Linked DNA regions of Arabidopsis thaliana. The protein of the gene in region 2 interacts with the protein of the main gene of each other region in a pairwise test. Each region holds a gene or a part of one and is shown on either strand. Other genes may lie near its edges. The genes, in order: AT1G36980 and AT3G11530.

What was found.
Region 1: the proteins of AT3G11530 (region 2) and AT1G36980 interact in a two-hybrid assay, tested with the Arabidopsis thaliana proteins (one large-scale study listed by BioGRID).

The regions. Positions count from the first base shown.
Region 1 is NC_003070.9:14,022,677-14,027,515, reverse strand, and holds AT1G36980 (transmembrane 50A-like protein), read right to left. Parts: upstream 2,883-4,839; 5' UTR 2,760-2,882; intron 2,578-2,759; 5' UTR 2,433-2,577; coding exon 2,300-2,432; intron 2,213-2,299; coding exon 2,125-2,212; intron 1,391-2,124; coding exon 1,238-1,390; intron 823-1,237; coding exon 789-822; 3' UTR 565-788; downstream 1-564.
Region 2 is NC_003074.8:3,627,790-3,632,377, forward strand, and holds AT3G11530 (Vacuolar protein sorting 55 (VPS55) family protein), read right to left. Parts: upstream 2,748-4,588; 5' UTR 2,221-2,747; intron 2,116-2,220; 5' UTR 2,097-2,115; coding exon 2,064-2,096; exon of another isoform or gene 1,400-2,063; coding exon 1,275-1,399; intron 1,196-1,274; coding exon 1,012-1,195; 3' UTR 741-1,011; downstream 1-740.

The DNA.
Region 1 (4,839 bases), on a different chromosome or scaffold from region 2:
ATTTTTCTTCTTTTGGTCTTTTTGTTCCTGAGAAAAGCTTAGCTACTACTTTGGCAATGGGAGAGGAGAAAGGCAGGGAGGGGTTTTTGTTTGTTTGTTTTGATGATTTGCAAATAGTGCAAATAAAGCTGATGAGGCTTTGAGTTGCCATATGAGTGTCCTGCCCTCTTCAGACTTTGTAGATCTTTCTTTGGTCTGAAAAAAAAATGGCTCAGCTCTCACACACGTGTTCCTCTTTTTGTCTTTTTCTCTTGTCTCTAATGTTTGATGAGCAAGAGTTCGCTCTTAGGAGAATATATAATTGCGAAAGAGTTTCTTCATCAACACAAAACATTGGATAAACCCAATAGAGGTGCCAAACAGGCCAATCCGCAATAGGCATTTATATTTGTAAGACTGCGACAGGCTGGTCTGCTAAGACTGCCGGCAGAAATAATGTGTCCAAGTCTACCCACTAAGCCCAACGTGTTAGCATGCCGGCCTGCGAACTTATCTCATTGAGCATGTACCTCGTCTTGCTGATCACATGATTTTGAGTTTTCTTTTCTAGGTAATTTAAAAGGTTTGCCTATTTGCGTTCTCTTTGGACAACTGATTGATTTGGAGTATTTTCAATAACATTCACACAAAGTTTTAACAGAAACACACACTGATGCAACAGAGGAATCTCGCACACAATGCCAAGGTGACAAGACAAGACACAGGAATTTACATAGTAGAGAAACGAGAGGAACTTGTAAGTTGTCACAGTATGAATCTGAGTCGGAGATGAAGTATGTGCCTGTGCGCTACTCTGAGTGCGATGTCCAATACATTAGCCCACTGTCAAAAAAATTGTGGTCAGTGACCAGACACCAGAGATATATACAAATAGATTAGTATAAGATGATATGCAGTATACGAAAACAAAAAGGTTAGGATGCTTCACTGATTGCAATTCAAATCACATTTGCTAGGTTTGGAAGTTACTGTTACCAGTACAAAATCTATTGTGATTATGAAAGATGATTCTAACGAAAAGTTTTAGTCCAGATGCGAAAAGAAGACAGCCACATTAGTTAAGAATGGAAGTGTTAGAATCCAAAGGACTATGACTAAAATTGTAAGAATCACTAAATCTATTTGTACAAGTTTGGGTAATTTTGTAGGAGTATTTGTGTTCAATTTCCCAATCTAAAAAGCAGTGTTTAGTGTTTCAAGAAATGCACAACCAGAAGAGTGCATAGAATAGCTTTACCTTATCAATACAAATACACATTGAAAGACACCAGCCACACCAGTCCAAGTTGAAGGCCCAGTCTTCACAACCGAATCTTGAATCAGCAAGCCAACAGAAGCAGCTAAGGAAACAAATGCTACGACATACGCTATGAAAAGCCACAGCTTCAATCTGTAGCCAAGAATCCAAATACATAAAAACACAAATCAGAAACAGTTGAAACTAACCGCAAATGTCAGCGAAAACTTGATTTCAGATAATGAGGGTTATAAACACACAAGATTTCTCAAGTATCTTCTAGTTTACACAGAAATACAGATTAGAAACACTTAGTAACCAAGCTCTTAAATCTTATCCTTGATTAAATAACTGTATCAGCAAGCCAACATAAACAGCTAGGGAAACAAACGCTACGACATACGCTATGAAAAAGCCATAGCTTCAATCTGTAGCCAAGAATCCAAATACATAAATACACAAATCAGAAACAGTTTAAACTAACCGCAAATCTCAGCGAAAACTTGATTTCACATAAATGAAACACACAAGATCTCTCAAGTATCTTCTAGTTTACACAAAAAATACAGATTAGAAACACGAAGTAACCAAGCTCTTAACTCTTATCTTGATCAAAAACAGAATCAGAAGCAGAGCGAATGAAACAAATTCAACGACATACGCTATAAATAAGCTTCAATCCAAATCCATAAAACACAAATCATGAATACTTCAACACTTATAGAAGCAATGATCACTCAAATACTTCAAACTAAATGGATCAGTCACAAAAATCAGCTAAAATTTGTACACTTATCTCAACTACCTTCTACTTTCCACAGAATTACAGATTTAAACAAGAAGTAACCAAGCTCTTATGTTGACTCAGATCAATTTGAAAAACTAACCTCCACTCGCCTTCGTCGTAAGGAGAGTAATCAATGTCTTCTTTTCTGACGCAATTGAACATCAAAGCTCCGAGAGAAGCGAATATGCCTGCGAAATCCCCAAATCCAACGGACCAAAATCGCTCAAAATTCGGAAACCCTAATTGATAAATTATCGAGAGTTAGATATATTTACCGGGAAGGTAATGGACGAAGGGAACTTGGATGGAACTGCAAACGACGGCGTCGACCCAAAACCACCACCCGGTTCCGAAAACGGCGCCGGAGAATCCGGGTCCGAAAATCGCCCACAGTTCTGCCAAATCCATCGCTCGATATGATTCGTCTCCAATTGGATAGATAGATAAATAAAAACTTTATTGTTGATATTGTTAAATTATTATAGTTTTTATACCGAAAAAATGTCATTAAAATTATTATGCCAAAAGTGTCGAAACAAAGCATCAACTTTACCTGTAATGATAAAATCATCAAAGTAAATTATTAATTTTTTTCGATTTTGCCAAATAAAAGATATTAGATAATCAACTAACAGATCAATTTAACGTATAAAGTCAACAATAACATTTTCTGTCAAATAGTAAAACAACATCGTTTTTGTATTAAAATAAATAATACAAAAAACATATAGCTACCAGAATCGGACCCTGCATCTGTGGCTATGTAACTTTATTTGCGTGATTTGAAAAAACACTTTGCAAACGATGTTGTTTTACTATTTGTTCTGGTAGCTAATCTCAGAATCGATTCACCAGAACACATAGCTAATCTATCATATTCTCCATATCACGCAAATAAAGATATATAATATTTTATAATAATATTAAAAGGAGAAAAAATTGATGAAAATTAATCTAGAAATTGCAGGTCTTCTGATAACAAGAAAACTGTAAAACTTATTATCTGAAAGAGTCAATACAATTTGTTCGATACAGAGAGCTCTAAAACACAAATCTAGATCATTACTCTCACAAACCCAGACACATACGTCACAGGCAGTTACAAACAAAATGCATAAATCTTCTAAAGAAAGCTAAGTCTCAATATATACACTTCACACGTGTGACTTCTTCTTCAGCGCACGTGCTCCTCAGCACCATCTTCATTCGCACGTGCTTCACGCCTCTTCCTCCTTGTATACACTATTAAGGGCTTATCAATACCCCCTCCCCCCCCCCCCCTTCAACATGCAGCTTGTCCTGAAGCGCTAAACCTGGAAACTGTTTCTTCAAGTCCTTGGCTATCTCCCATGTATCCTCATGAACCGGAAGACCTTGCCAATGTACCAACGCTTCTAAGAGTCCATCCTCATTGTAACGAGTCTCCAGCACAGCTTCAGGCACAACCACAAACTCATTATCTGCAGTCAACACTTCCGGTAATGGAATGACTTGATGGTGGTCACCCAAAACCTGTTTCAACTGAGACACATGAAAAACAAGGTGTATTTTAGAACCCTCTGGAAGTTTCAGCCTATAAGCAACTTTCCCAATGCGTTCCATGATCTCAAACGGACCAAAATACTTCGCTGCCAACTTCTGACACACTCTCTTTGTCACAGAATTTTGACGATATGGTCTTAGCTTCAAGAACACCCTATTCCGTGTATCAAACTCAACTTCTCTTCTATGTTTATCATCGTTATTTTTCATTAACTGCTGTGCATTCACCAAATGCTCTTTAATATCGGCCAACATCAAATCCCTCTGCTTGAGTAACCCTTCTAACTCACAATTCTTAGTAGAATTAGCTTCAAAACGCATAATTGGTGGAGGATCTCTGCCATACAAGACCTTAAAAGGTGTTGTTTTGATAGTTGTATGAAAAGAAGAGTTATACCACAATTCAGCCCTAGGTAAGTATTGGAACCAAGTCTTAGGATGAGCTGAAGCAAAGCATCGCAAATAAGTCTCCAATGTGCGATTCAACACCTCTGTCTGGCCATCTGTTTGCGGATGGAAAGCAGTGCTGTATTTCAACTTAGTGCCTGATAGTTTGAAGCAGTCTTTCCAAAAGGAACTCAAAAACGTGTTATCCCTATCAGAAACTATCGATGCAGGGAACCCGTGCAGCTTCACTACCTCGTGAATAAAAATTCTAGCCACATCAACTGCATTGAAAGGATGTTTGAGACCAATGAAATGACCATATTTGCTTAATCTGTCTACCACCACCAAAATGACATTTTTTTCCGTGAGAACCAGGCAGCCCTTCAACAAAGTCCAAGGAAATGTCTTCCCAAACCTGCGTTGGAATTGGTAAAGGTTGTAACAACCCAGCCGGAGATAAGGTGGAGTATTTCTGTCGTTGACACATTTCACACTTAGCAACAAATTTCTGAATATCCTTCATCATACCTTCCCAATGAAATGATTGTTGAATACGTTTCATTGTCTTCAACACACCCGAATGACCACCCAACAGGCCACTATGATATTCAGCAAGTATGAGTGGTAAGAACTTTGAGTCTTTAGGAATGATCAATCTCTGTTTCTTCCATAATCTGCCTTCTTTCACAGTATAGGCACTAGTCCCTTGTTTAGCTGATAGACATTCTTTAACCAAGTGTTGCAGATGAGCATTAGAATCTATTTCTTCATAGAGATCATGCAACTGGAGAACTGTGGGCACTGTAAACGCCATTAACAACATTGACGAGAATGACCCAGTTGGTTGTACCATTCTAGATAACCCATCAGCCGCCTTGTTATCAAC
Region 2 (4,588 bases):
GCAAGTCACATCATTACAAAAGGGATAAACATCATATATCAACGCAAACTCCAAACAGATAAACAATCAAACTGTTTTTCAATGGCGTAACTACAATATGAATAAGTAAAATAATTATGTAACACTCTATAAAAGTTAACTCATCATTATCAAACATTTCGCAGACAATAAAACAATATCGAGTTAAAACCACATAAAGGAGATATATTGGATTGAACATAGAGAAATGGGAGATGTCAGATAAATTGCCAAATAGAGTTTTTGAGGTCATGATGAAACCATTCGCACATCTAATTGAATCATCATCCATTTACCATTCCTCCAAATTACAGAAAAAAGAGTTGACGGCGAAGTCAGATTATAAAATGCCAAATAAAGTTTTTGAGCTCATGATGAAACCATTCGCACATCTAATTGAATCATCATCCCTCGCCGTTTTTCACTTCAAAGAAACAACCAACGTAACAAAATTAAACGATCGTGCAGTCTGAAAAACAATTCCTCAGATTACAAGAAACGATGCTGCAGATTATAAAAAACACAAAAAAAAAAAACTAAATTGCAGAACAACCAACCCTAGACGATGACGGCTAATAATAATCGCAAGGATATATATATGAAAGGGGTCTCTTTTAAAATTACGCTTCTACCCTTATGAAGTTCATGGGCTTTTATTATCTGAAGGGCCTTCGGACATTATTTCATGACCACGTGTTACAGTTGAACCGTTCTTTGTTAATCTCTCGAAGCTAATCTAGGGATTAGGGAACATTCACAATGATGAATTAAACTTTTTCCTAAACATGCGAAACAAAATATTTTGGCACTTAGTTTCAGGAAAAGATTCACAGTGATGAATAAAACTTTTTACAAACATTGAGTGATACAAAGCTTTACAAAAAGAGGGAGAAGAACACAACTTTCTTAACCACTCATAGTAACCTCATCTTTTCTTCACACTCTCTTTCTCATACGAATCCAATTAGTAATTCACGAGCAGCAACATCTACGTTACCAGTCATCATCGAGACTAGCCCGGTGAAAACACATGACAGTGCAAATGAATATGAAGAATGATGTGAACTCTATGAGCATTGCACCTGTCTCGATCATCTGTGCGTGCCTTAAGATGATTGGGATAGCAAGGCTTCCCACGGTCGATGCTCCGGTCAAGAACTTCGCTGCGTCTATCCACCTGCGTTTTATGGACGAGCCAATTTGGTAATCGATCTTTCGTTTAACTCAAAGAAGCAATAAAGTCTCTAGTAACTAACCCTCCACCGTCCCGACTAATAAGGAATTGGGTTGAGCCTCCTCCAAAGAACATACAAGGCATAGGCACCACTACATACATGAGTGCTGATAGCATTGGCCACCAGTTACCATATATCGCGCATGCCTGACCATTATGAACAAATAGTTATCACTATATCTCCCAGATGACTATAACACGTGTTACTCATTGCATGGTATAACCAGGTATACCAAAGGAAATCACAAAATATGGGAAACGTATCAGATTTGTAAATCAGATGATCCTTTCTTCTTCTAATCGAAGTGCAAAAAAAAAAAAAAACTATACCTATACAAGGACCTGATATAAGCTGAGGAGAGAAGATGCTTGAGTTTATAGAAGTTGTTCAGAAAGTCTAAGTCAATTAACAAGTTAGACATTGAGGTCGGCTAAGGACCCCAGCTTACCATATGCTCCGGTCAAATAGTGTTGTAAGGATAAGAATTCTAAGTGTAATTTTGGTTTTTGGGATCCAGAGATCGCTAGTCAACATACTACAAGAGAGTAAAGCTCAAAACTTCAAATATGAAAGAAGGTTTGAATGTAACAAACTTTACTTCACAGAGTATCTCTCCCAGTAAAACGGGCCAAAAGACTCACAACTCTGTTTGCTACATCAACAAGGGTACAAAAGGAGACCAGTATACTCAGCTCACAACCTAACAGCAGAACTAGCTAACCATCTCTTGCAGGATTTAAAGCTACTAAGTCATGATCTTATGATCAAGCTTCAAGGGTTATAAGCAGATAGCTATATTCAGAAACGTACCAGGATCTGTAGGAGGATACTAGATGAAAACATGAAAGCAAGTCCAGCAAGTCTGTGCAATCAAGAAAAATAAAATCTGTAAGATCACGACACACGAGAATACACTGGCAGATGTAACAACAAGGGTAATTAAAGAGCATCAAGTCTTAGAACTTACACTGTACCAAGAAAGCAATTTGAGCATTCCAGAAGAAATCAGCATCGGAAAAAATTTAGAAAAGAGCAAACAATGAGTGAGTTTGAACAATGCAAAACCCAGAAACCCTAGCTCACAAAATTAAACAATTCACGAAGCACAAAATAACTATAATCTGAGTAAATCAATACCAATCTCTAATACGTATGGAATATATGAACATAGAGCAAGGGAGAAAAGTAAAAGGGGAAAATCGACTTGAATCTGATTCGATTCCGTCGGGAAATGATACAGTTGGAAGATAGGTGATTGATTACCTTCGATGGTCATCGCCATGTCGGCGAATGAAAATGTTCTGATTACCGGAGATCGAGTCTTGAATGATCGCCGGTGACGATAAAAGAGAAGGTGATGATTTCGTTGTTCCCCTTAGAGAGATACAGAAGGAGAGAGCCCAGAGAGGAGTCGCGATTTGAGAGCAAAATGAAAATTAGTGACCGGTCAAAATTGGTTTTCTCACCGTTCATCGATTTCATCTTTTTGGTTTGGTTGGTTTATTTTGGTTATAATTGGTTTCCAGGATTGTGGTTTTGATAATACAGCTAGTAGTCGATTTTAAAATATCACAAACTAAATGACATGAAAAAAAAATTACGATCAAAATTTGGGTTGCAAGGACCACATAAAACTCATTCCTAAATCATACGTAATAAAAATGATTTTATAACTGAAATTTTTAACCAAAGTTCATACCAATCATCAAAATATGTGAAATGCTAAATATTTTTTTCTTTTCATTTTTTGTTATTTAAATGCAATCAACTATGATTGAAACTGCATCAACGAAAAAGTATTATTAAACTATTAAGCAACCATAAGTTGAGTTGATTCGTTTCCATAATTTTAGTTAGAGTACGTAAATCTCCATCATAATACACTATCTATGCTATCATTGTTTGTTTTTTTTTTCTTTTTTTTGCTAAGAATGTAAATATCATTAGAAATGAAATGTTTGGTATTACAAGAGACGTATTACCTAAATTAAATTAACCTTGGCAAAAAGAAATAAAAACAAGGTTAAGATAAAGAGTAGTTAATCAGGAGAGATTAATGGATCCAAAGTAGCATAAGTTGTTTCCAATGCTTTCTATGTCTTCGAGAAGTAATGGTATTGCGCACCTCACGATCTATGCTATCATGGTTGGTGCGTTTATGACATGCTGCTGCTGGTGACGATTCAAAAGTGTTTATCAGTTGTTCATTATGATGCCATTGTGATGTACCATTACTAATTTCTTACTTAAATAAGGTGTTGTTTTTTGTTTTGCTCCAAATAATAAGGTGTTGTTTAAAAGGGGCTCTTTCGTTTTGGAGTAAAAGTCTCTCTGAGTAGCTGTATATTATTTAAGTAGCATAGTCCAATTATTTGACAATGAAAAAAAGTGTATAGTCCAATGAATACCAAATGAATTGACGTCACCACTAGTTGAGACCTGAGACAAGCAAGTGATCGTTAAATCAAGGAGAACGCAAGTGGACGAGGCCGACATGATCCTAACTATTGGACTCCCACTTGTGAAACTTACTTGATCCATTTCCCACTTCATAATTTCGTAAAAAAATTAAGACAATGAGAATGAATTTATTTATTTATTTTTCGGTAGAACAATGATTTTTATTTTGTCCAAATAAAACAATCGTGAAAAATTATGTTTTGGACATTATCAACTTTGTGAGTAAAACAAATTTTGTAGTTTCTTTTAACCAATATTTTCGAAGTCAACTTTTTTCTACGTGTGAGTGTATTGAGTAAATGATAGATATGTCAATAATAACATAACTCATCAATCAATCTGGCTTCAATAGAACTAGAGAAGTTATAACGTTTTTTTTTTTTTAGACAAGAGGGTTTTATAACTCTAGACTAGTTTCATAGTCCATGAAAAAAACATCAAATCTCCTAAATGGCTGGACATAATTCAGATGATTTTGTATGAAATAAAACATAAAACATATATTTTCTTGCATATCTGGAGATTTTTGTTTCTTTATTACAATGACTAATTAATTTACCTTGTTCCTTTTTATTTTTGCAAAATGATTACTGTTATCTATTTTGTCCGTTTCTAATAAAATAAAATAACAATCTGAGCTGTGGAAAGAAAAAAAAAGGAAAAGCGAGGAGAGCTAATCTGAGTCGTTGCCTCTGTCCACTGGCTCGGACCGACCTCGTACCTCTTTCATTTGTCCTCGAGCTTATAATAGAGGCTACGCCGTCGCCGCCACCTCCGCTCCATCCATTCACGGCCAAGCGACGACTCCACCGCTTAGGCTTGGCGTCTGAGGTATACTGATCAACGCTTTCTGTTTTCGGAGGAGCGAGGCGGAG